7 linked regions of the Coturnix japonica genome follow. The protein of the gene in region 5 interacts with the protein of the main gene of each other region in a pairwise test. Links are inferred from orthologs where the notes say so. Each region holds a gene or a part of one and is shown on either strand. Other genes may lie near its edges. The genes, in order: AKT1, SUV39H2, STK4, MAP2K3, RASSF1, STK3 and LATS2.

Region 1 (3,500 bases), on a different chromosome or scaffold from region 5:
GGAAGAAGCTTACCCCTGATGTGAGGGCCTTCAGTATTGCAGCCAGTGTGCAAGTCCCACAGGAGGGAGGAAGGGAAGTATTTCATATTGGCTGCCATTTTACAGCCTTGCAGTGGGTCAGGTGTTAGGAGGGGAGTTCTGGCTCATAGGGCTGAATGTGGGTTAGTCATTTGGTGTGTGTGTGTGGGTGGTCTTTTGTGATGTGCAGAGTAGCCCTTTGAGTAGGAGCAGGTTAATACAGGGATGATTGTGATGTTCAGTTTGTTGCCTGTGAAGTAACAGACCGATGGGCTTTTCACCTCTTCCCAAAGTGGCTCCTTGATGATGTGTGTGTGTGTGTATATACATACTGTTCTAAATGGGATCTCATTTAAAAAAAAAAACAAAAACACACACACACACACACACACACACACACATATATATATATATATGTATATATATGTTTTAATGAGATCCCACTTGGAACAGTTTGTGATGAATAAGTGAAAATTCAGCAGCTGGCTCTGTAATGTGAGAACAGTCCTCAGCCTTTGGGCTTTCAAAGGTTCTGCTTACTTACCATGGATGTAATGAGAGGGGGGAGGGTGGAAGAAGGAAGAGAAGAGGAAAGTTGACATAACGTGCACACTTTCTTCTCTTCCCCATCTTGCTCATCTACAGTGCTCTCCTTTGTCTCCTTTGACCTTTGTTTTCAAGGAGGATCTTCTGAAAACACTCTGTGCTAATAGATTCAGCTGTGTAATGCGAGAACATGAAATTTGCTGGTGTTAATTTTGCCTCTTGAGTTCATTCCCAATGTAGGAATGCCTTCTAAAGCCTTCTCCTTACCCCTGTACAGGTGCTGGAAGATAATGACTATGGTCGTGCAGTGGACTGGTGGGGATTAGGAGTTGTAATGTATGAAATGATGTGTGGCCGGCTCCCTTTCTACAATCAGGACCATGAAAAGCTCTTTGAACTCATCCTTATGGAAGAGATTAGATTTCCACGCACTTTGTCACCTGAAGCAAAATCTCTCTTGTCAGGCTTGCTGAAGAAAGATCCTAAGCAGAGGTGAGACTGTTTCTTAATATTTGTGTTTTTAAACACTTGTGCACTCAGAAGTAGCATAATAAGTCAAGGAAAAATGTATTTTAAGGCCTTCACAAGAAAAGTTAATAACTTTGCTACATAGAGGTATGTCTGTGAAAGGGAGCTGTTTTTTTAGGCAAGTGACTTTAAGTGGCTCTTCCTGTGCTGCCATTTAAATGATCCATATCTCCACCATTGAGAAGCAATTGAAGAGGATTCTGCCCAAGGGGATACTGAATGCACTCATGCCAGTATTTCTGTATTTCAAAATGAGGAAGGCATTTTGGATGAAATTCTGGATTTGTTTTTAACTGGCACAAAATTATCATCCACCAAGTAGAGCTGAGGGATGTAGCGCACAGACCTATTTGGTTTCAGCTTAACTTTTGACTCAAGCTGGCTTGCAGGTGGCAACGTGAAGCAGTTTTGTTGATCAGAAGCTTGACCTTCAGAATATGGTGGCTGCCAACTATGGCCTGGGACAAAGCAAGTTAACCTTGCTTTTGGTCATAATTAATCTGATCGTTGCTGTGAGTTATCAGCTGCTCTGCAGTAATTCTTTTACCATCTATCCAAGTTTGGGCTGCTTACAGTAAGCTTTCTGAATTTTCTGTTCAGTCAGTGCCAGTGATCTGTCATCCTGCTTTGGACAGCAGGTGGTGGTGTTAGTACCATGTTTATGGTGGAATTCATACTGTGCTTTAATCTACTTTTCCCATTTCCTCCTTTTGTTTTGAAAAAGTAACCTCTGTCTTAATACCAAACAAAAACAACGTCAGCAAAAAAAAGAAAACCTCAAATCCTTAATGGCTAACAAACAAAATGTAACAAAAAATAGAACAGGATCCAAAAAGGATGTTGACCTTTGCACTAAGGGTAAACATCAGTCTGAAAACCTGCTATCTTGTCAGCCCAGACACTTTTTAAACAAACGAAGATAGTGACTCTGAACCTTCCCACCATAAAAGAACTCAAGCTAGGAAACCTTTCACATGAGGTGTAGGTAACAAGTATCCCAGTTTTTGTGATGTTTGTTTAGTTGGTGCGTACACACACACTTAACGTGAAAATGGTTTTTGCCAGTATTGGATTTCTTGGAGCAGGGATTTTTGTCACAGGAGTGGACTGCTTCCATCACTGCTTTCAATTGTGTGATGGATTAGCAACCCCCTGGGTACTCCACACAGCAAATGTGGCTGCAGCCCCTGCCAACGGGATTCCTGTCTAGAAAAGCCCTGGGTTAAATACAGTTGTGACCCTCTTGTAGCTTATTCAGGTGGTGCCTTTCAATCTCTGGAAACACAAGTAGCATCTGCTGTAATTTGTTCTTAAAGGAGCATCTCTGATGAACCAAAATACAGTTTGTTTACAAACAAAGAACGCCCACTTGTTTCTGATTGCAAGGTTTCTCCAATGCCAATAATTACTCCACAGCATGCTCATTTTATACAAATAGCCACTTCTTCACATGTATCTTCAGCAGGCTTGGAACCACTGATGCTCTGATGTGTTGGACAGATGATTTTCCTGCTGCTGATAGAAATAACTATAGAGTAGAGAAGCCTGCACCTTGCTAATTACACCGTGCCTCCCCAAGCTTTTTGGATCGTGGACCATTCTTAAATACTGGTTTCTCCCCAATCACTGTACATTCAGCTTTTGAATTGCAGTTGGGATTCTGCAATGCAGTGCACTGGGTGGCGTTTCAGGCAGCAGGGAGAGGTGAGCTGGGGGCACTGGGAGGTGGCAGTCCTGAGTCCTGCCCTGCCCTTGTTATGGGTTTTACTGTCAGCTGTTCACACGGTGTGGTCTGTGTTGGGGTGGGCGCCTGACAGATGTGGTGATTGACTCATTATGAGGTCATTCAGCCACGTTAAAGGAAAACACCCAGATAGCCTCAAAGTACAGTCAGTTGAAATTACGTCATGCCCAGCAGTCCATTCCACATTAGCCTATCAATGATGTTTGGGGGAATTCGTGTAATTCAACAGAAATCCCCTCCTTAGCAAAGCCCAGTGGTTGGCAAAGTTGGCTTCATTGTAGGGTCTGTGGCAGAAAGCATCATCACTTGCATTTAGTTACTGCTAGTGGGCTTGAGAGTGGGACAGAGATGAGCAAAAGGAAAATGAAACAGGGACGTATTCTCCTTTCCAGTAAAATCCCTCTCACCTCAACCCCCAAAAAAGTTGAAATAATGAAACTCACTGTAAGTTGGTAATGAATTGTGACCGGAGTTGGTGAATTAAATCTTACAAATTACCTGTTGTACGTGAGCTGGAAATAGAGGAGCAGTGTTAGCGTTCTGCTTTTGGTAATAGCAACTCCCAGGCATATGGGGAAAATATGAAGAACAGTAAATTGCATTCTGCTTTTAATAATAGCTGTTTTCTAAATTTGGTCATATAAAATCCATTTTGTAAGAGAAA
Region 2 (3,986 bases), on a different chromosome or scaffold from region 5:
GTTACTGCCTTTTAAAAGGAGTCTTGGGAAAACCCAAAGCCTGGTTCTGTCAGGGAAGCGCTGTCCTTATCCCAGTACTGTTGCACCTTTCTTCTCTTTCTACCAGGCTGATGAGCACAGGCTCGTAGCCCAATGTTCCCTAAGGGCTTATATTGTACCCCCTAAGTATGTATATGTATGTAACCTTATATGTAACCCCCTAAGGGTTTATATTGTGCCTAATGGTACAACTTGGGGGAGGTTATGGGGTTTTGGATTGGGTTTAAAGCTACTTTGAGCTGCGAGCAGCTCTTCTGAGAAGCGTGTCGTGATGAGGGAATGCTTTTATGTGTTTAAAGCGTCTGAAATCGTTCCCTGTGACTGTGAACTGTAACAGGGCAGTGTGTTCTCCTGGAGGCCTTTTGTCCCCCTGCCCCTGTGTTGCTGCTGAAGGAGTGCTGTAAAGAAAGAGTGGCAGCACGGGTTTTTCGTTGTTTGGCTTACAACCAGAAAACAATCTGAAAACGTGAAGGTATCACAGAATTGTAGGGGTTGGAAGGGATCTCTAGAGATCATCGAGTCCAACCCCCCTGCCAAAGCAGGCTCCCTACACCATGTCACACAGGTCGGTGTGCAGGTGGGTCTTGAATATCTCCAGAGAAGGAGACTCCACCACCTCCCTGGGCAGCCTGTTCCAGCGCTCCGTCACCCTCACTGTAAAGAAGTTCTTCCGCACATTCGTGCGGAACTTCCTATGCTTTAGTTTCATCCCATTACCCCTAGTCCTATCCCCACGCAATACTGAAAAGAGACCAGACTCACCGCTATGGCCCCCACACCTCAGGTATTTATAAACCTGGATCAAGTCCCCTCTCAGCCTTCTTTTCTCAAGGCTAAACAGACCCAGTTCACTTAGCCTTTCTTCATAGGGGAGATGCTCCAGGCCCTTCACAATCTTAGTGACCCTCTGCTGGACTCTTTCCAAGAGATCCCTGTCATTTTTGTACTGGGGAGCCCAGAACTGGACACAATATTCCAGATAAGGCAGAGGGGGAGGATCACCTCCTTTGACCTGCTGGACACGCTCTTTTTAATACACCCCAGTATTCCATTGGCTTTGTTGGCTACAAGGGCACACTGCTGGCTCACGGCGGGTCGAGGAAAAAAGCCTGGAAGCAGAACCGACGTGGAACCGCCCCGCCGCCCTGTGAGGATCAGGCGCGCGGGCGCCGGTAGGCGGCCGTTCCCATAGCGCCGCCCTTCCCCCTCCCCTCCCTCTGCCGCCGCCTGCGGCCCTGCGCGGCCCCTCCAAGATGGAGGGCTGGCGAGGAGGTGAGGGCGGCGGCGGCGATTCGGGCCGAGAAACGGGATGGGGACGGAGCCGATCTCCTCTCCCTTCTCCTTGTGCAGGGCGGGCCGAGTGGGAGCGCGAAGGGAGGCGGTGGGAGACAACGCGGAGCTCCGCGGGATCGTTCCGGCCGCCCGCGTGTGGCGCTGAGCTGAGGGGGGACGGCCCGGGGCCTCGCGCGCTCCCTGAGGCGGGATTGGGATGGGGGGCGGGGGGGGAACGTGGGGGAATTTGGGGTGAAGCGAACCCCAATGATGGTTTCCATCGAGCCGAGACATTAAATAGGATTCTTTACCCGATTTTCTTATTGTAGCTTGGTATGTGCCATGTCTGGCTTCACGTGAGACCCTCCAAGAATTATGTAGGAAGGAAAATCTGATATGTAAATCCATTGGAATCACCAACAAGAGTCTAAAGACTTATGAGGTGGAATATTTGTGTGACTACAAGGTAGAAGAGGTAAGAGAAACACAGACCGAACCTGATTGCTCTTTCAGCTGAAATTTGGAAGGCAGACCGAGGTAGCTGTGCTTATGATGTAAAAGCAGCAGGCTGCCAGTACGAGGCTGTTGATGACACTGAAGAAAATACCTTCTGAACTTTGCAAACAGAAAGTGGCGTAGTTAAGCACGTTCGGTGTGCTGAAGTGTGCCTTGTTTTCCCTGAAATTATGGCAGTTTGGGGTTATAAAATGTTTCACCCGATATCCAGAAGTAAAGCAAAACACTTGACGCTTGTAGGTTGTAACTTGTATTCTGATGCTTCTCTGTTTGCAGCTGCATATATGTGCAGTGTTGTTGACTGAAAAGTTAGGGCTGTGTGCTGCAGCTGGATTCCTATGGCTTGGTCTCGCCATTGAAATTCAGCATCAGGATTTGACCTGATTGAGTTGATTTTTCCTTTTCTCCCAGTTCTAATTGTTACGTGGCATCCTTTCTGTACCACACTCTGTTAACTCTAGCACTGTGTCACGTTGTCTTTTGGTAGATCGAATGGTGGCTAAATCCTGTTATCTGTTTCTGTATTTCAAGGGCAAAGAATACTATCTTGTGAAATGGAAAGGATGGCCAGAGTCTTCAAATACTTGGGAACCTCAGAAAAATCTGAAATGCCCAAAACTTCTTGAAAACTTTCTTAGTGACAAGGATGAATATTTATCTCGGATGAAAGGAGGCAGAGCCCTGAAAGTGAGAAACAGTGTTAAAGCTTTGAAACCTGCCGTTGCAGATTACATTGTAAAGAAGGCTAAACAAAGAATAGCTCTGCAGAGATGGAAAGAAGAACTCAACAGGAAAAAGAATCATAGAGGAATGATTCTGGTAGAAAACACTGTGGATCTTGAAGGTCCTCCTATAGACTTCTATTACATTAATGAGTATAAACCTGCTCCGGGAATAAATGTAATAAATGGAATAACAACTGGCTGTGAATGCTCAGACTGCCCTGCTGAGAAGTGCTGTCCAAAGGAAGCTGGTTTTATTTTGGCTTACAATAAACGAAGGAAGCTGAAAATCCAGCCTGGCTTGCCCATCTATGAATGCAATTCATTTTGCAGGTGTGGCCCTGACTGCCCTAATAGAATAGTACAGAAAGGTACCCAGTATTCTCTTTGCATCTTCAGAACTAACAACGGCCGAGGTTGGGGAGTGAAAACCCTCCAGAAAATTAATACCAACAGTTTTGTGATGGAGTATGTTGGAGAGGTATGTGTTTATCTCATATGGATTATTTTGAAGGAGAATGCAGGTGAAAAACATAATGAGCTTTCTCTCAGTTCCATCACTTCCTGACTTCAGCTCTACTTTTGAGTAGAAGAATATACTGAATAGACGTTTGAGCTGGCAGTAAGATTATATTATCCAAAACATCCTCCATTCCAGAGGCTGGATATGAAGAGAACACATCTTTTGTGTCAGTAAATAAGTATTTTTGATAATTATTTCAAAATTCTAGCATCTCTAAAAATGGATCCTCCTTTTCTTTTTTGGCAGTTGTATTCCTTGGGGTTTTTTTCCATATCTTTATTGTAGTTCTTTCTGTTCCCCAGGCACAACTATTACCAAACTCTGCACCCAGTCAGTCCTGTTTCTGTTCTGTCCGCGTAGCCTGTCTCGAGCTATTTCAGAACAGAACTTGAATGCTGTAAAATACAGAGTCTGATTTCCTCTTGAGATCTGATCTTACTTTGTGTTACCTGCTTCAGCCTCTGTTCTGCTTCACGGCCCTTTGCATCAGCTGCTCTTGGCAGCCTCTCTGATCCTGTTGCGTATCTGCTTTGCTAATACGATGACTCAAAAAGAACTCATTCTGTCCCTGCTACAAATGTTTATGGTCTTGACTGTCTTATCTCCATGCTTCCTGCCCCAGATCTTCTAACTCATCGGGTTTGTACCCTTGGAATTGATTCCTACAAACATGCAGGAGGCTCGTGTGATTGCAGAACTTTGTTGCTTAAAGCAAAGATGTGGCCTGGCAGAAAAATTCTGTTACTTCGAACTCTGTTACTTTTTGTATCAGTGCTGCTGCCAAATGGTAATTCCTTTGCTGGTTGTGCACCATGGAATACATTGAATGCAGTGGGCTGCAGACAGAGTATTTAAAGCTGTGGCTTCTATTGAACATTGCTGTAGTTCTTCTGTTCCTTTGGGGATCCTCTGGA
Region 3 (3,500 bases), on a different chromosome or scaffold from region 5:
TCTGTTCTTTAGCATTGTCCTTGCTAAACCATACAGTTCTCTCTGTTAGCTTTTTTGCTTTACCTTTTCCAAAGGATAAGTGGTCATTCTGACTGTGCCATACTTCGTTGTTCACCCCTTGGGCAGCCCATTAGTTGACTATATGGGAAAGATGTAGGTTGTACTTAACATAAGTTGCATTTCTGAACTGATTAATAGAGTAAGAAGGTGAAGGTTCCTCATAATGACCACAGTAGCAGTTTTCCAGCTTTTGACCTTATTTAATCTTTCTCTTTGGTTTCAGACACTGCAGCAGCTTTACCAGGATCTGCCATGGTCTGTTTCTCATTCCATTGATGCCCTCCCTACTTGTTTGCCACAGTTCAGGGAGCAAAACCAGACTGAAAGCTAATTGCTCCTTTTCCGTTTCTGCAGGATTTACTTTCAGACGTTTTAGCCCCCTGAGCTGCCTTTGTGACAGGTCACAAGGACACCACTGCTAGGACAGGCCTGGAGGGCTGTGGTCACTCACTGTAGACTCAGGCTGGTGTGAAACACTTGGTCAGGGCTTCAGTGGCACTTCCATGCCTGAGTTTTTAGAACCTGCTTAGGGAGGCTGCAGTATTCTTTGCCTTTGCTTATTCAGTTGTGCTGCTCTCCAGTATTTGACCCTTTGTTCTTCTTTTTTCACGTTTCATAGCCCTCATGTGGTGAAATATTACGGCAGCTACTTTAAGAACACAGACCTGTGGATCGTCATGGAATACTGCGGCGCTGGATCCGTGTCTGATATTATTCGGTTACGAAATAAAACTGTACGTAGTCTCCTCTGAATGCTGGGAATGGGGAGCAGGAGTGGTAGCTCAGGAAACTAAGTGGCATGTGCAGTGCTTTGGGTATAATTCTCATAGGTGTTTAACATCTAAAACAATCATGGGCCACCACTGCAATGTGGGTCCTTTGTTCCCCTGAAGATATGGAGGCTCGTTATGTTGATCAAGTTTGGGTTGTTTGGTTAATGCAATCAGTTTGCATGGTTTTGATACGGTGTTTGGTTGGCTTTCCTGAAAACCCAGATGGATTCAGAATTGACAGACTGCTTTGCCTTGCTCTGGCTTTGCAGGGTAAGAATTAGTAGGTGTGAAAGGCTGTGGTGCGGATGTGTAAGGATGCTGATCGAAAGCTAATTCTCATATGTAAGGCTGCTACCTTGGAGTATGTGTACTTCCCTATTAGTATGGCAACCTTTAATGAAAGCAATTAAATAACTATATCTCAGGGAGGTATAAACTGCGACACCACTGTGTGCCATCTCGGAAACCGAGAGGTTGAGAGTAACACTTCTTTTTAGCTTACAGAGGAGGAAATTGCTACGATAGTACAATCAACACTGAAAGGACTGGAATACTTGCATTTTATGAGGAAAATACATAGAGATATCAAAGCTGGAAATATATTGCTAAATACAGAGGGACATGCTAAGCTTGCAGATTTTGGAGTGGCAGGACAACTCACAGTAAGTAAAACCAAGATGATTATGTGCACTTCAGTTCTTCTTTCTAACGTACACATAAGCATCATGTGCTTGTGGAGACCTTGAGACATTCAGAAGTGTTTTTAGCACTTTACATCAACATAATGAGACACTAAAGCAGCAGCAAAGCTTCCTCTGTGGGAGCTGTTAGGCCTAAGTAATGGTTTGTAATAATGTATGCTGTTTGCTTCAGTTCATGTCTGACATCTGCGAGCATATTTCAGTTTCTCTCTGCAGCTTTCCATATCTTTATCTTGCTTAATCTGGTAATATATGTGTGTGCAGGTGGAAGATAATTAGGATTGTAAATGTGTGCTCTGGATCTTTATCCTGCTCTTCTTTTCAGGATACCATGGCAAAGAGGAACACAGTTATAGGAACTCCATTTTGGATGGCTCCAGAAGTGATTCAAGAGATTGGATATAATTGTGTTGCAGACATCTGGTCGCTGGGAATCACTGCAATAGAAATGGCTGAAGGCAAACCACCATATGCAGATATTCATCCTATGAGGGTGAGGGCTGTGACTTTAAAATGCATTGCGATGCAAAAGTGATTTGCTATTACAGCTGGGTGAGTGATGCATCAAGATGCCATCTTGTTTATAATTTAGAGGATATGATTTGCTTTCTGTCAGTTTGTTGTGCTGTTGATTAAATGAAAGATGGAGGAGGAAAATCATGATCCTCATCTATCAAGGCACAGCTGAAACTTCTGCTGTTGAGTGTGAATACAGATACTTTATGCTGTGGATCATACAAAATGATTCTTTATCTTGCAAGCAACCACATATTTTTATGACTTTAAAATGGCAGATTCACACCTCTTGGTGCAGATAATGGCTCAGACAGACGTGTAGGCTTCTAGTGAGAACAGCCTGATTTGTTGTTCCATCCTCTGAGCAGCTTAATGTATAAAATATTGGTACAAACTCTTCAGAAGCAGCAAACTTGAACCATGTATCATTCTTTAGTGCCTGTGGATGTTTTGATTCATTTTTGTTAGGAGGTTTTAAACTCTGTTTGGAAACCTGGAATATTCTTCTCTTTTTAGGCAATCTTCATGATTCCTACCAACCCACCCCCAACGTTTCGGAAACCAGAGCTCTGGTCAGATGCTTTCACGGACTTTGTGAAGCAGTGTCTGGTCAAGAGCCCCGAGCAGCGTGCTACTGCAACACAGCTCCTGCAGGTCTGCCTTGTCTTGGGAGAATGGGAATGTTAGAGAAGGCTTGCTGTAGTGTAGGCAGTGCTGCGCCTATTTGGCTGATGTAAAAACCCTGTACCCAACTTCAACCTTTCAGTTCTTCCTTAAGATCTAGTCTGAATCCTGTCTTTGTGGATGCTTTTGTTTGTTGGTGTTGTTTTTTTTTAACCTTCAGATTCTCACCAGCAATGCCAAGTAACTGGCTCTTAACCCACCAGAAAGGAACTAGATGAACTTTAAGGTCCCCTCCAACCCAAGCTATTCTGTGATTCTAAGTAACTGCTCAGAATGGTGCATGCATTTGTAGTTGGTTGTCGACAATTGAGCTGGTGAGGAATAAGTAGTGCTTGTGTGTGGGGAATGAGCCCCAGTAACCCCATGGTAATGATGTTCTACTGCTCTGTGTTAGTTCAAGTGCAGTGCTTACTAACTTTAACATACCACACAGCATCCATTTGTTAAGAGTGCCAAAGGAGCATCAATCCTGCGCGATTTGATTAACGAAGCGATGGATATAAAACTGAAACGCCAAGAGGCACAGCAGCGTGAACTGGATCAAGAAGATGAAGAAAATTCAGTGAGTATTTAATAGCTACAGTATACAGAGCTCAGCCTCTTGGACCTCGCATAATGCTAAGCTGCTTTGTTCCTTATTTTTATAATGTATTGTTCAGCTGCCCATGGGTTTTATATGATTCTTGAGTTTTGTACTTAGGGCTGCTTAACTTGATGTTTGAGCTCTGCTCAACCTTTATGTTTGAATGGGGCAGTCAGCAAATAT
Region 4 (2,273 bases), on a different chromosome or scaffold from region 5:
CTGTTTAGGGCTGTTGAGCTGCAGGACTGATCCTAGCTTTATTCATTTCTTACATCCCATCTCTTGGCCCAAGAGCTGCTATGGGCTTTTTCCTGCTGGAATGAATGGTGGAGCAGGAATAGCTGCAGCAGTTTGGCAAAGATCATCTTAAGTTGTATTCTAAAGCTCACTTCCTCTTGGGCTCATGGATCTCTTTGTGCCTAGCTCATACAGCCTGCAGCCCAGAGGGCAGGTCATGGTGAGATGAGCACTCCAGAAGCCAGAGCAGAAGTAGCATCAACACTGCTTTGACATCTTTTTAAATAACCCTGTTTTACATAGATTTGTCTGCTTCCTGTAAATGCATTAATTTGCTGAGCAGGCTTCAAAAGGAAGTTTTTGGTTTTTTTTTGCCTTAAGGTCTTTGTATTACAAAAATGGGGGTAGGGGAGAAGGCAGTATGACCCGAATTGAAAATGGTTTGTTAGGAGGGAGGCTTTTCAACTTGAATCTACACTTGTGCAGCCTCTGATGTGGGGCAGCCCCAGTGTCTCACAGTGTCCCTGTCCCCAGATCGAGTTGGCCATCCTGCGCTTCCCCTACGAGTCCTGGGGCACCCCGTTCCAGCAGCTGAAGCAGGTGGTGGAGGAGCCCTCACCCCAGCTGCCTGCCGAGCGCTTCTCCAAGGAGTTTGTGGACTTCACGGCACAGTGGTGAGTGTGGCAGAGACTGGGCTGGTGTGTGAGCAAAGTGCAGGGCTGGGGTTGGCTTTGGAGCCTGGTTCTCCCCTCCTTGCTGTAACGAGCTGGTGTATCTGCTGCAGCAGGATTGGGTTTTGTTGCCCAAAGGGGTTTTGCTCTCAGTGTGACTCATTCAGGCTGCTTGGAAGGCACTGAGGTTTCTCTTCCCGTTTTACCATTGGCGCTGCTCAAGTGTTGGTGGTTTCTGGCAGTGTGGTGGTGGAACAGCCCTCTGGCAGCATGTAGGTGCCTCTGGGTGAACCTGGTTTGTGGTTTTGTGGGTTCCACATGCAGGAGCTGCTCCCCTTGGGTGCCCCCTGCTCCTGGCCTGCTTGGAGGTGCCCCCAAGCCCTGGGATGGGTGGTGTGATGGGAAGCTGCCTCCTCTCCTTCCCAGCAGGGCTGCGTGTTTCTGGGTTTGGCATAACCCCAAATCTGCCCTTGTGGTTCCCTGCCTGTGTGCTACAGGGCCACGTGGTTCAGCTCAGAGAGGAGTGGGAGTGGGTGCTGCCCATCCAAAGTGAGGTGTGGTTGGGGAAGGGGGAGGTCTCTTCAGATAGACCACATGTGGGGGGGGGGGAAAAAGTATAATGAAAGATCCTACAGCCTCTTTTTTTCTTTCTTTTTTTTTTTTCCCTTCAGTTTAAGGAAGAACCCCGCTGAGCGAATGAACTATTTAGAACTTATGGTAAGTTTGGGGGCTGTGTCTGCTGGCCTTCATCTGGTATGTGAAATGTGTTGGGGTAAAAGGGCCTGGCCAAATGGTACAGCAGGACACAGGGGTGATTTCCAGGCACACGGTGGGATGGGCACAGTGTGTCTAAGGTACAGCAGTGTATTGAGTTTTGTGGGTGTTAAGGGGAAGGTCAGCCTGTAGGTGATGCTGGTGCCCACTTGGCCAGTGCTGTGACACTCCTGGGGCTGCTTTTGAACTGCTCCCTGCTGGGCCATGACTGATGCCTTGCTTCTTGTTGACAGGAGCACCCCTTCTTCACCCTACACGACACCAAAGAGACTGACATGGCCTCCTTTGTGACAGAGATCCTCGGGGAGGACTCTTAACTGGAGCCCCACTGTTCCATGCAGTCCCCACGGAGGAGCAGATGTGGACTTGAATTCGTGGTGGTTTGCACAACTTGTGTTTCTCAGCCCCCGGACAGCTCTGGGCACAGCCCCCATCGCAGTCTCTTTTCTCTTTGCCTGAATTCTTCGAGGAAGAGCCTTGGAAGCCAACACCTTCACCCTTTCAAATGCTGGGGGCACAGGGAGGGGGATGGTGCCCACAGTGTCCAACCTCGGCACCGTGTGTGGGGGAACTTCTGCCTTTCTTTCCCTTTGCTGCCTGAGGTTGGCAAAGAGAAAATGCTGCTGTGCTTCTGCCCCCAGCCCCTTCCCCAGCATTTTGCTTGGCTCCCTGCCTCACGTTCCTGAGCAGCACTGCAGGAGGCTGCAGGGCTCTGTGGGCACTCTGCTGTCCCTGCACAAAGCCATCTTGATGGCATCTGGGTGACCCTTCCACACAGCCCCAGGCCTGGCACCCCCTTCACTGTGTGAT
Region 5 (4,090 bases):
CCCGCTCTCAGCCTTACGGCAGCTTGAGGAGCGCCCCGGGGGTGGGCGCGTCCCCCTGGGCTCCGCAGAGCAGACACAGCCCTGACGTGCGGCTCCCCCCGCAGGGCGTGCCAGGTCCAGCACTGGCAGAAGCATCGCACTGCCTGCGACCTGCTGGCACAGGCACCGGGCACTGCGGGCACACAGTGAGCAGGGCAGGGGCTGATTGTCCTTGGAGAGATGCCCGCAGGTTCGCAGCCTCGTGGGGCTCAGCCTCCCCGTCCCCCCCACACAACACCCCCACACAACACCCCCGCTCCTGCTGCACCCCGCGGGGGCTCAGCTCCCCCTCCTGTCTCCTCTTTGAAGAAATAAACCACTTCCTCCCCTCCCTCGCACCCAGCGAGAGGTTTGTGTGTGTTGCTTTTTACCCTATGAGGCAACAGGAAGCCTGGAGAACTTGAAAATGAGCGAACAAAGTTTGGAAATGGAGATCAAAACGGCCCGGCCTGCTGTCACCGAGGCATGGGCTCACTCACATCGAGCTCCTCCAGGCATCAGGAGAAGGGCTCAGCATCACCTCCACTGTGAGAGCAGCAGGGCGGTATCAGAGGATGTGGTTAGTGTGGAGCTGAGCAAGCTGTGCTGCTCGGGTCTGTCAGCTGCTGAATGCAGAGAGAAACCATAGAATATCCTGTGCTGGAAGGGACCTGCTGGGATCACCAGCTCCAAAGCCCGGCCTCATGCTACACCACCCAAACGTTAATGTCTGTGAGCAATGTCCAAATTGAGCTGCAGCAGCTCGGGGCTGTGAGCACTTCTATAGGGGGAAACGAATGGCCTGGGTGTGATTTTAATGTTGCTTTTGTCCCTGCTTTCAGCTGAAGGGACTTAGCACTGAGGAGTCGATCCCTCGGCTGCCGTGTCGTCCCAGGGCACCCGGGAGGAGATGCCGGTGGGGTCACAGGGGCACTGGAGCTTTGGGCTCGGGGCAGGAGGACTCCCCCATCCGCAGTGCTTGAGGGCTGGAGCTCGGCTCTGCTGCCTCCTTGGCATTTCGTGGTGGGGCCGGCTCTGAGGATGGGGCCGTTCGCCGCCGTCCGGTCCCGCGGTGCTCGTTTCCGTGGGGCGGAGGTGGGAGGGGGGGGATCCCTCTGCCCCCGCCCTGAGCTCGGGGCTGAGCGCGGCCGTTCCAGGGCAGCCCCCGGCGGAGAAACTGAGGCGAGGAGCGGGGCCGCCCCGGGCTGCGGGGAACGGGGCCGGCCAGCGCCCCACACACCCTCCCCCGTCCCCGCCTCCCTCCCGCCCCGCCGGACGCAGCCAGCGGAGCCGCCGCTCCATCGGCCCTCGCCGGGGCTCTGCCTCAGTTTCCCCCGCGGGGCGGCCGCCCCCTTTCCCGGCCCCCTCCGGGCCATGGAGCTGATCGAGCTGCGGGAGCTGCAGCCGGAGCCGCGGCCGGGCCGGGGCCGCCTGGAGCGAACCAACGCGCTGCGCATCAGCCCGGCCCGTCGGCACGGCCCCGGAGCGCGGCCCGAACACAGACCGGCGGCACCGAGCACCGGGCATCGCTTCGAGCCCCGGCGCCGCGGGCTCCACACCTGGTGCGACCTCTGCGGGGATTTCGTCTGGGGAGGCGGCAGGAAGAGCCTCCAGTGCCGCCGTGAGTATCGCACCCCGCCGAGCATCCCCCGGGCGCTGCGCATCCCCCATGAGCGCCGGGTGTCCCGGTACCGAGCATCCCGGTACCGTGCAGCCCCCAGGCAGTGGCTGCCCTGGGACTGGTATCCCGGTACCGAGCATTCCCCTGGGCACTGGGCATCCCAGTACCGGGCATCTTCCCGGGCACCGAGCATCCCAGCACAGAGTACAGGGCATCCCTCCCCTGGCACCAGGCATCACGTATCCTGGTATCAGACCCCACTGCCCCGAGCATGGGGCATCCCTGTACCAGGTTAATACTACAAAGCCTGGGCAAACTATATGGAGCATCCTCTCAGGTACCAGCTGTCCCCGGGCTGAGCCTCCTGCCACCAGACATCTCCCCGGCCATCCTGGTAGCAGCCAGGCTGTGGGCGCCCGGTACCAAACAAGCACTGAGCAGCCCAGTGCTGAGCATCTCTGCCCAGGGCACCCCCGCTGGGTACCAGGCATCCAGGCACTGAGCTCCACAGTACTGAGCACTCCCACCTGGCACTGGGCACCCCAAAATGGACACTGCAGTCCCAGTATTGAACATCCAAGTAGATCATGGGCATCCTAAGTACTGAGCATCCTGGTCCTTAGAACCCGGTACCGAGCATTCCAGTACCAACCAACCCAGTACTGAGCATCCCGGTACCACCCCCCTTGTTGCGGGTATCCCGGTACCAAGCACCTGCTCAGGTACCAGGCATCCCATTGCTGGGTGCCCGCACTGTGTGACCAGGCAGGGGACGTGGGCACCTCGGTACGGCCCAGCAGCGCCGGGTGCCACGCTGGGTGCCCTGGTACAGCGTGGGCATGTGGGCAGGTGGCACGGCCGGTGCGTGGGGTCTGCTGGGGCCGTTGTGCCCATTGTGTCCTCTGCCCCAGACTGCAGCTTCACCTGCCACTACCGCTGCCGGGCCCTGGTGCGGCTGGACTGCAGCGGCCCCCCAGGCACCGGGGACGAGGACGATGGCAGCGAGCAGGAGCTGGAGAAGGACACGAATGTGGTACGGGACCGCGGGGATGGGGGGAGCGGGGCGGACGTGGAGGGAGCGGGGACAGCCCAGGCTGGGCCGTGCCAAGCCAAGGGGCGCCGAGCCGTGCCACGAGAGGCCGTGCTATGCCAGGCTACGGCACGCTGCGCCATGCCGTGCCATGCGGTGCTGTGCCATGTGGTGCTGTGCCATGCCGTGCCGTGCCAAGCTCTGCCGTGTCGTGCCCGCAGCAGCCCTGGGACCGCAGGGTGCGTGGCCCGGGTGAAATCACCGCCGGAAACGGGGCCGCACCGCCCCCGGCCCGCGTCAGGCCAACGGCCGCGGTGGGGCGGAGCCGGGCTGAGCCGGGCCGGGCAGCGGGAGAGCGGGAGAGACGGAGCCGGGTGGGACTGAGCGAGGAACCGGGCCGAAACGGGACCGAAACCGGGACCGGAGCCGAGACTGAAACCGGGACCGGGAAGCGGGACTGAATCGAGCCGGGACCCGAGCCGAGGAGCGGCGCTGAACCGAGCCGAGCCGAACCGGGCGAAGCGGGCCGTGCGGAGCCGGGCCGGAGCGGGCGGGCTGGCGCGGGGCCGGGCGTGCCCCTGTGCCCGGGCCGGGGCTGCCGCAGCCGTGGCCGGGGTAGAGGGCGGCGGCGGCGGGGCGGGGTCCGGCGGCTGCGGGGCGGCGGGGCTGGCGCTGCGCTGGGGCGGCGCGGGGGGCTCGGGGGGCAGCGCGGCCAGCAGCGGCTACTGCAGCCAGGAGGACTCCGACTCCGAGCCCGAGCTCTTCTACACCGCCCGCACCTCCTTCGGCCGCCGCCCGCGTCGCCGCCAGGTCGGTCCCGGGCCGGCCGTGACGTCGTGGGGCTGACGTCATGCGGGGGGCACGGGGCGTTTTTTGGGTGGGAGGAGTTCGGGGGCACTTTGCACGGGGACACGCGTGGGAGCGAGCGCGGCTTGTTACTGGGGGGAGCGGGGGGGGAAAGCGTGCTTTGCTGGGAGCGAGCTGCCCCCATCCCCACGCAGGTCCGGCAGCCCCGGCCGCTCCCGGCCCCACAGCACCGTGAGGACACGTGCGGCTGTGCGGACCTATGTAAATAGTCATTAACAGACACGGGCGGGCTGCCCCGAAGCCTCGGGCATCCCCATGGGGCACCCAGCCTACCCCGGTGCCGGGCTGGCGGCTGCCTCGGGGACACCGCTGTGATCTGGAGCGCTGGGAGGGGACACCCCGGGCTGTCCCGGCTGGGAGGAACGTGGGTTGGCATCGCCATCCGTCACCCCACCTTCACGGCCATGGGGTGGCCATCCCGGCGTTGGGGACAGGCACGAGGCCGTGGTGCGATGCGACCCTGTGCTCAGCACGGCATCCACCCCGCAGGATGAGCCCAGCAGCTGGGAGACGGCGGAGCTGGACCCGGCGCAGGTGGAGCAGCGCATCAAGGA
Region 6 (3,500 bases), on a different chromosome or scaffold from region 5:
CTGTTGATTACTTAATGTGTTCTTGGGCTGTGGTATTACCCTGACTCACAGGAGGAATGAGCCTCAAGGACTTTCTGATTAGGAAATTCCAAATGCAGTATATGAGGATATCATTTTTCTTTTGGTATTTCCTAATTCATCTAATTACATTTTCACACCAATAAAAATTGTCGATGGGAGAATCTTCATGAAATAAATGATTGCAGCCAGAACTTCATTATAGGACCCAAAATTTTGGTCCCTTTAAGCATCATAAAAAGCAAATTCTGTGTTGACTTGCTATTTTGCTCTTGTTTGAGGCTTGGTCCTCTGTTCAATATTGAGCTTGACTACAGCAGCTGGTTATTGTTCTGATATATCCTTTCAGAGTAAACTGGTTAACAGTTATGGTAGAATTTATTGGACTGTATGTGTAGTGTCCACTTCAGAAATGGCTACTGAAGGCTTCCCGTGGTGATGCAATTTGTGGTTTATATTTCTACTATAACACCTTCAGTGCCACTCCCCATTCTTTAGTTGTGTAGATAGCATGTTTGCTGTGGCTTCTGATTTCACCCAGGGATGTGGAAGTTGTCTCGGAGCACTGTGTGAAAGGTGAGGCAAAGCAGAGTCGGTCTCAAGGCTCAGATGTGGAAAGGCCAGTTTAGGACAAATTGGGCATGGTTTGTCTGTTAGGCAGGCAAAGATAAACACTGATTAAGTTGTCATGGTCACTCAGGCCTCAGTTTTGACATCTCCCAGCTTAGACATTTATTTATGAATAAAAGAGTGATTAAATAGTTAAAACTGAAGATTAGGAGTCATTCAGTCTAACATCTCAGCTGGATCTGAGAGTACCAGTCTGTCTCAGATACACAGGGAAGTGTGGAAAGTGATGTTGAAGGTGTGAGAGAGAAGAATTAACGCTGTGTCTTGCTTTGTAGGCCAGAGCCTTGACTGTGGAACCATTTCCCTGAATGTTTCCTTTGGTTGGCACTGCCAGCTTAGCCCATGCAGTTAGGTGGGTGGTAGCATACATTAAGTGTTTGCAAATACTGTCTTTGTAGTGTGTGTGTTGTTTTTTTTTCTAAACAAAAATAAATAAAACCAAACAAAAACCATTGGCATTAATAGGTGTTGGAAACACAGCATAAGGTGAAAGAAGAATGTAAGTAAGTCCTATCTTGGCAGCCATGAAAAACAGTAATTGAAATGCCTTAGTTTTATTTTAAAATGACTGAGTTCTGTTGAGATAGAAAAGATGTATTCGGTAATAAATGGAAGAAAAAATGATGAATAAATTCCCGTTAGATAAGAATTTTGGTTTTATTCCTGGTGATCTGGAAATAAGTTTATAATTCTCCAGTGGTTGATTTGCAAGTTTCTTGGAAGGAAACAAAAGAAGCTGGAAGTTAAATCATAGGCTTCCTTTGAAGGTGAAAGGGAGCTTAACATTTTGCATAGGAAAGTGCAAGCCAAAATTAGGTAGTGAAGGGGCAAGATGGATTTGAATATAACCTCCAGCATTTCAGGCTAAGTAACGGAAGGGAGTGATGAGAGATCACAGAATTGTAGGGGCTGGAAGGGGTTTCTGGAGATCGTCCAGTCCAACAGCAGTTTCTCTACAGGAAGTTGCACAGGAAAGTGTCCAGGTGGGTTTTGGATATCTCCAGAGAAGGAGACTCCACAGCATCTCTGGACAGCCTGTTCCATATGGGAAAGAAAGGTTCACACTAGAATGTGTGTGACATAATTCACAAGTTGGACTGCACATTTGGAAGAAGGAATTAGTTACTAAATATGGCCTTGCATTAAAAAAAATGGTAGTGTAATCCATATATATATTCTTTTCAGATAATGACAGCTCATGTCACATACCAAGATCTAAAAAAACCTGTAGTGTTTGTATTTATGTATGTATTTCTGAAGTTGTCACTTCCAACAAATTTACAAAGCATGACTTTGTTTTTAGGATCTCGACTGTAGCTGTAGAATATCTTCTTTTGTAATTTTTATTGTCTGCTGTAAAAGAATGATTCATGGTTTCCATCTTTCTTCTCATTGTCCTTTGTAAATTATAAAAATGTCCGTTCTTTGCTATGATTCTTCACTGCTGTGTAGTTGATCAAAAGAGTTTGCAGAAGGAAATAATTTCTCCAGAACTTTGGAGCTCGGTAGAATTCCGGAGCTAAGCTTTGGTTATGTGCTGGGACATAAGTCAATGCTCATTGTCAAATAGGAGGTATATGTTTTGATACCATGTAAACAGAACTTACTGGTTTTCTGTTATGGCTGTGTGCTTTCAATAGCTACTGCAGAGCTAGCTGTTAAGAGTAGCTAAAGATAAGATTAAAATCATCAGTTCAGAGTTCAGATAGGTCATTACTTTCAAGGACAGGAGCAGCTGAATTTGTTAGCCACACCTTTACCAGAAGCACTTCGCCTGTACTGACAATTTTATATCGCAAGTAAGTAATTAAAGACAATTACAAGGTAATAGAGAGCTACTACTCCAATCTGAGATCACATGTTAGTTTGGCAAGGCTGTCCACTGAAAATATAAAGCTGCTGTAAAATACACCAAAGTTTATTTAAAAAAAAAAAAAAAAAGATATATTCTGATCCTCTAGTTTTTGAATTAGACAGCATTAGATAGTAAAGTAAGCTCTGTAAATATTAGATTTAAAATGAAGTATCTGATACTGAAATATTTTTTCATTAAAAATGCACTACAGAGTTCTTATAGTGTTCTGCCTGGTTTCTGCTTCTCTTCAGCATATGAAAAAAATTTAGAATGAGGATTTTGTACAAGTTAAACAGGCTTTGGAGGGCAGTCGAGCTTCTCAAGAAGTTGTGGATAAAATCTTTGGAAGTTTTTTCTCCCTTTTTCTCTGTTTTTCAAGCACAGTCTGAAGCTTCTGGTACTAATACTGTGCTAATGGTAAAAACTACAGCCAAATAGAGCGTGCAGCAGCAAGTAATAGACCCACCAGCCCTTCTGAGCAGCTCTCCTATAAAACTAAATGGAGCTAAGAGATGAGAAGGTGAACTGTGCTTTTCACAGAAACTTTTCAGGATCTGTTTGAAGAAGCAATACCATTACTGAGAATTTCTGAAAGAAATCATATCCTGAGACTGATGAACAGTAATAGATAACGTAGAGGGTGATGTGCTCAATGAGATGCAGTTTAAATAGAGAAAATAGAATGGGAAGTAGCTACATTAGTAGCAGATGGATTTACATCCTGAATCTCTGTCTGAGTGGAAATCCTACCCTGCTTGAAATTTGTCTTCCAGATTCTTAACTTGATAAGAAAGGTGGATAAAGCACTTTATTTCCTTGAATTCGGTACTGTGATGATGTGCTTTGTTTCAATTTTCTGTTGTTCTTGCTTTTTATCTAGGCTATTTTTATGATTCCTACTAATCCCCCTCCAACCTTTCGGAAGCCGGAGCTCTGGTCTGATGAATTCACAGATTTCGTGAAGAAGTGCTTAGTGAAGAATCCTGAACAAAGAGCT
Region 7 (3,500 bases), on a different chromosome or scaffold from region 5:
CCATCAGCAGAAAACATACCCTGCAAGTATTGAATCTTCTGTGATTAATTATCCTGTGTCTAATCACAACAGCCCAGCCTTGCAGCTGCAGGCCTCCCATGGCTCCAGCAGCCAACATTACAGTAGGCAGCACATGATGGTGCAGGGGGAACCCATGGGGTATGGTGTTCAGCGGAGCCCATCCTTCCAAAACAAGATGCAGCAGGAGGGAGGCTACGCCAATCTCCCAAATAAAGGGGCAGTTGTTCAGAATAATGCTAGTCATGCATTTCAGCAGGCACCAGCAAGCCTGTATATGTCACATTCTCATCACAAACAGACAAGTCCTCCCTCCCATCAAATGCACGTGATATCTAGAGGTCCAGCATTTGGTAACGATTTTTCAGACAGCCCACCACAAAATCTATTAACTCCATCTAGAAATAGCCTAAACATGGACCTCTATGACATGAATAACCCTCAAGTTCAGCAGTGGCAGGCAGCAACGCCTTCACGGCGAGATTCTTTACAAAACCCAGGAATAGAATCATCTCCACGGCAACACGTGTCCTTCAGACCTGATGCCTCAGTGCCAAGCAGAACAAACTCCTTTAACAACCATCAGCAACAACCGCAAGTGACCGTGTCTATGAGACAGGTTCCTCCAGGAAAACCTGATCCTTCCATTGCATCTCCAAATACAATCACAGCGGTCACATCTGCTCATATTCTCCAGCCAGTGAAGAGCATGCGAGTGATGAGACCTGAGCCTCAGACTGCAGTGGGACCTTCCCATCCTGGTTGGTTACCTGCCCAGGCACCGGCCGTGGATGGCCTAGAGATCATTGAACAGCACGTGCCAGCTGTTGGAGCAGCCAACGCCTATCAACTAGATGTGGATTATGGTAACCAGGAGCTGCGGTGTCCACCACCACCGTATCCCAAGCACTTGTTAATTCCCGGCAGCTCTGAGCAGTTTGATATCAATTGCTTATGCATGGGTGTGGAGCAGACCCTGCGTGTAGTCCCCAGTTCAACGTGCAATAAGGCTGAGGAGAACAGTGAGAGAAATGACAAAAACAGCAAAAACACTAAAGCTGAAAAACCAGGCAAGGATAAAAAGCAGATCCAGACATCTCCGGTGCCTGTGAGAAAAAATGGCAAGGATGAGGAAAAGCGAGAATCCCGAATAAAGAGCTACTCACCATTTGCTTTCAAGTTCTATATGGAGCAACATGTAGAAAATGTCATAAAAACCTACCAGCAGAAAATCAACAGAAGATTACAATTGGAGCAAGAAATGGCTAAAGTAATTATTATTTTTTTTTAATATAATAAATAGGGTCAAATTAATTATTACTATCTTAAGTCACTCAAAAAAAGGTATAAAGGCGAGTTCTCTGGGAAGTGATAATAGCTGTTCAACGCCTCCCTTTACCAGACTGTTTTCACTTAGAGGCCTGGGTGCAGATCTGGGAGACTGTTTGAAAAAGCTGAGACAGGATGTAGTATGTCCTCATACAAGAAAGTAAAATAAAGCAGGGGCATCCACAGTAGGAAAGTATTACGTTTGCATAGGAAAGGACTCAGCAGCCAGGTCTGAGACCATGGTAATACTGACAATACTTTCCAGCCCTTGAAAAAATCTGAGAAAGGCTTTCTCTTTGCTCCAGTTCTTCCTGCCTATTACATGATAGCAGCTGCTTATTCACCAAAGCCACAGTTTAACTTGGCAGTAGATTTACTATGCTATATTTTCCCTTGAATATGTAATACCTGACTGAAAGTTGTCTCTTGAACATATGTTAGTAATAATACCATGCAAGTAATCATCTCTTGGCCAGCTGAAATGATCTTGGGATCCTTGCTGGGATTTGTTCTAGGCGCGGGTCTCAGTGAGGTGCACTTTGAGAGCTTCATTCACGTCTCGTAGTAGCGCTCAAACTGAGCTGACTCACTGATAGGGCTGTCTGAAGGCAAGCTGCCAAGTTCTGATGATTGCTCTGGCAGTTCTGTTTGTAATTTTTAAACATGGAAATTTTGTATTTTTTCTCCCTTCAGGTGCCATTAGCTAGAATATGACTAGTCTACTTTTGTGTTTAAGGATAAGCTTTAATGAAAGCTATCATTAATACATGATGGGTAATAACTTACCTGACCTTCCTTAGAACTGGTTAGGGTCAATTAATTTGATTCTCACATTGCTCTCCCTCTATGGAAATATTCAAGACCTGTCTGGTGCATATCTGTGCATCTGTTGTAGGGAGCCTGCTTTAGCAGGGGGGTTGGCCTCAGTGATCTCCTGGGGTCCTTTCCAACCCCTGTGATTCTGTGATTCTGCTCAAGAAAATCTGGTGGTTTGCTTGCCAAGGTTACATTTGATGCTTCTAAAAATCTCTTGAAAGGTCAATATAGTGGTGGTAGTTCATAGTTTGTCCTCAGTGCAACTATAGGTTGTGTTGCACTGCTTGGATTTAGTGAATATTTTCCTAAGACTGAGAAAGTTGGGGAGCAGTCTCTAAAGAAGTAAGAAAAGAAACTAATAGCATCAGTTCTGTTTTGGCCCTTCAGCTTTTGCTCACTTCATAACTCAAAGATAACTATAAACAAAAAACAGCTCCTTCCCCTAGCAACCTCATTTCTGGCTGGAATAACACACCACAAACTCAAGAGATTTTGGCCATCTGAATATCGCATTATTCTAGAATTAACCAAGAATACAACACAGTAATTGTTATGCGTTAAAGCAATAAACGCTTCCTTTAGTATGGATTGAGGTACCCTACCTGTTCTGCAAGTTTTTTCATCCTTAATTCACATGGATTTCATTTTTATGCTGTGGGGATCTTGCTGCTTATTCTGGCTGCCCACCTATCATCCTTAATGGCCTCGATTGCAGGTGTGAAATGAAAACTTCAGTCAAAGCAGCAGCCTTATGGGTGAATACTTAAGGGGTCTTTAGCCTGCTTCTCAGTCAGCTTCATCTCCATCCACCATTTCCCCCATTGCCTCTTCCCATCACTCACTCTTCCTCTCAAAATGCTTATTTTCACTTATTTCAGTTCAAGATAAATGTTATTCAAAAGGAGGGGGGTCTGCTGCAGACAGGGAATTCTGAGGATCCTGGAAATCAGCGCAGGGGCTTCTGCTGGTGAAGGCTGCTCGTGTTCTCAGACAGGCACTGAAGGCAGAATTGTGCAGGCTCTGTCTTGAAGCATGGGGGAAGTCCAGCTGGTTAATTCTCCCCCTTTCCAGGAGATGTTCCCCTTCAGACATGTGAAATGTTACTTTTAATTACCGTAAGACTCTATGGGGACAGAAGGTGTCTGGACAAGCCAGCTTTGTTACTGTTCAGGTTCAAAGGGAAAAAACATACATTTAAAAGAGAAATAGGATCTGGATCTTGGCTTCAGTGTATGGGAGGAGGCCAGAGCTGAGGGTTGTATACATATATTTTGGGAGGGAAGTTAGGGATCTGCCAAGTGTGAGAGTGGAGGTTCTGTACAACAGAGGAGGAAAAA

What was found.
Region 1: the proteins of RASSF1 (region 5) and AKT1 interact in a protein complementation assay, tested with the Homo sapiens proteins (2 studies listed by BioGRID and IntAct, with this or other methods). The link is inferred for Coturnix japonica from reciprocal best matches to the Homo sapiens genes RASSF1 and AKT1.
Region 2: the proteins of RASSF1 (region 5) and SUV39H2 interact in a two-hybrid assay, tested with the Homo sapiens proteins (2 studies listed by BioGRID and IntAct). The link is inferred for Coturnix japonica from reciprocal best matches to the Homo sapiens genes RASSF1 and SUV39H2.
Region 3: the proteins of RASSF1 (region 5) and STK4 interact in binary tests that used the Homo sapiens proteins (3 or more experiments, as listed by UniProt). The link is inferred for Coturnix japonica from reciprocal best matches to the Homo sapiens genes RASSF1 and STK4.
Region 4: the proteins of RASSF1 (region 5) and MAP2K3 come close enough for resonance energy transfer, tested with the Homo sapiens proteins (2 studies listed by BioGRID). The link is inferred for Coturnix japonica from reciprocal best matches to the Homo sapiens genes RASSF1 and MAP2K3.
Region 6: the proteins of RASSF1 (region 5) and STK3 interact in binary tests that used the Homo sapiens proteins (3 or more experiments, as listed by UniProt). The link is inferred for Coturnix japonica from reciprocal best matches to the Homo sapiens genes RASSF1 and STK3.
Region 7: the proteins of RASSF1 (region 5) and LATS2 come close enough for resonance energy transfer, tested with the Homo sapiens proteins (2 studies listed by BioGRID). The link is inferred for Coturnix japonica from reciprocal best matches to the Homo sapiens genes RASSF1 and LATS2.

Annotation. Positions count from the first base shown.
Region 1 is NC_029520.1:46,930,118-46,933,617, reverse strand, and holds part of AKT1 (RAC-alpha serine/threonine-protein kinase), read left to right. Parts: intron 1-841; coding exon 842-1,056; intron 1,057-3,500. UniProt on the Homo sapiens protein: AKT1 is one of 3 closely related serine/threonine-protein kinases (AKT1, AKT2 and AKT3) called the AKT kinase, and which regulate many processes including metabolism, proliferation, cell survival, growth and angiogenesis.
Region 2 is NC_029516.1:6,623,582-6,627,567, forward strand, and holds the start of SUV39H2 (histone-lysine N-methyltransferase SUV39H2), read left to right. Parts: upstream 1-1,186; 5' UTR 1,187-1,292; coding exon 1,293-1,311; intron 1,312-1,640; coding exon 1,641-1,786; intron 1,787-2,358; coding exon 2,359-3,030; intron 3,031-3,986. UniProt on the Homo sapiens protein: Histone methyltransferase that specifically trimethylates 'Lys-9' of histone H3 using monomethylated H3 'Lys-9' as substrate.
Region 3 is NC_029535.1:4,579,260-4,582,759, reverse strand, and holds part of STK4 (serine/threonine-protein kinase 4), read left to right. Parts: intron 1-679; coding exon 680-794; intron 795-1,330; coding exon 1,331-1,495; intron 1,496-1,859; coding exon 1,860-2,027; intron 2,028-2,566; coding exon 2,567-2,704; intron 2,705-3,167; coding exon 3,168-3,296; intron 3,297-3,500. UniProt on the Homo sapiens protein: Stress-activated, pro-apoptotic kinase which, following caspase-cleavage, enters the nucleus and induces chromatin condensation followed by internucleosomal DNA fragmentation.
Region 4 is NC_029529.1:4,536,324-4,538,596, reverse strand, and holds part of MAP2K3 (dual specificity mitogen-activated protein kinase kinase 3), read left to right. Parts: intron 1-552; coding exon 553-692; intron 693-1,360; coding exon 1,361-1,406; intron 1,407-1,696; coding exon 1,697-1,780; 3' UTR 1,781-2,273. UniProt on the Homo sapiens protein: Dual specificity kinase. Is activated by cytokines and environmental stress in vivo. Catalyzes the concomitant phosphorylation of a threonine and a tyrosine residue in the MAP kinase p38.
Region 5 is NC_029527.1:644,760-648,849, reverse strand, and holds the start of RASSF1 (ras association domain-containing protein 1), read left to right. Parts: upstream 1-1,290; 5' UTR 1,291-1,392; coding exon 1,393-1,639; intron 1,640-2,550; coding exon 2,551-2,672; intron 2,673-3,371; exon of another isoform or gene 3,372-3,479; intron 3,480-4,025; coding exon 4,026-4,090. Other genes in the region: ZMYND10 (zinc finger MYND domain-containing protein 10), read left to right, coding at 105-189. UniProt on the Homo sapiens protein: Potential tumor suppressor. Required for death receptor-dependent apoptosis. Mediates activation of STK3/MST2 and STK4/MST1 during Fas-induced apoptosis by preventing their dephosphorylation.
Region 6 is NC_029517.1:115,667,934-115,671,433, reverse strand, and holds part of STK3 (serine/threonine-protein kinase 3), read left to right. Parts: intron 1-3,383; coding exon 3,384-3,500. UniProt on the Homo sapiens protein: Stress-activated, pro-apoptotic kinase which, following caspase-cleavage, enters the nucleus and induces chromatin condensation followed by internucleosomal DNA fragmentation.
Region 7 is NC_029516.1:159,847,422-159,850,921, forward strand, and holds part of LATS2 (serine/threonine-protein kinase LATS2), read left to right. Parts: coding exon 1-1,288; intron 1,289-3,500. UniProt on the Homo sapiens protein: Negative regulator of YAP1 in the Hippo signaling pathway that plays a pivotal role in organ size control and tumor suppression by restricting proliferation and promoting apoptosis.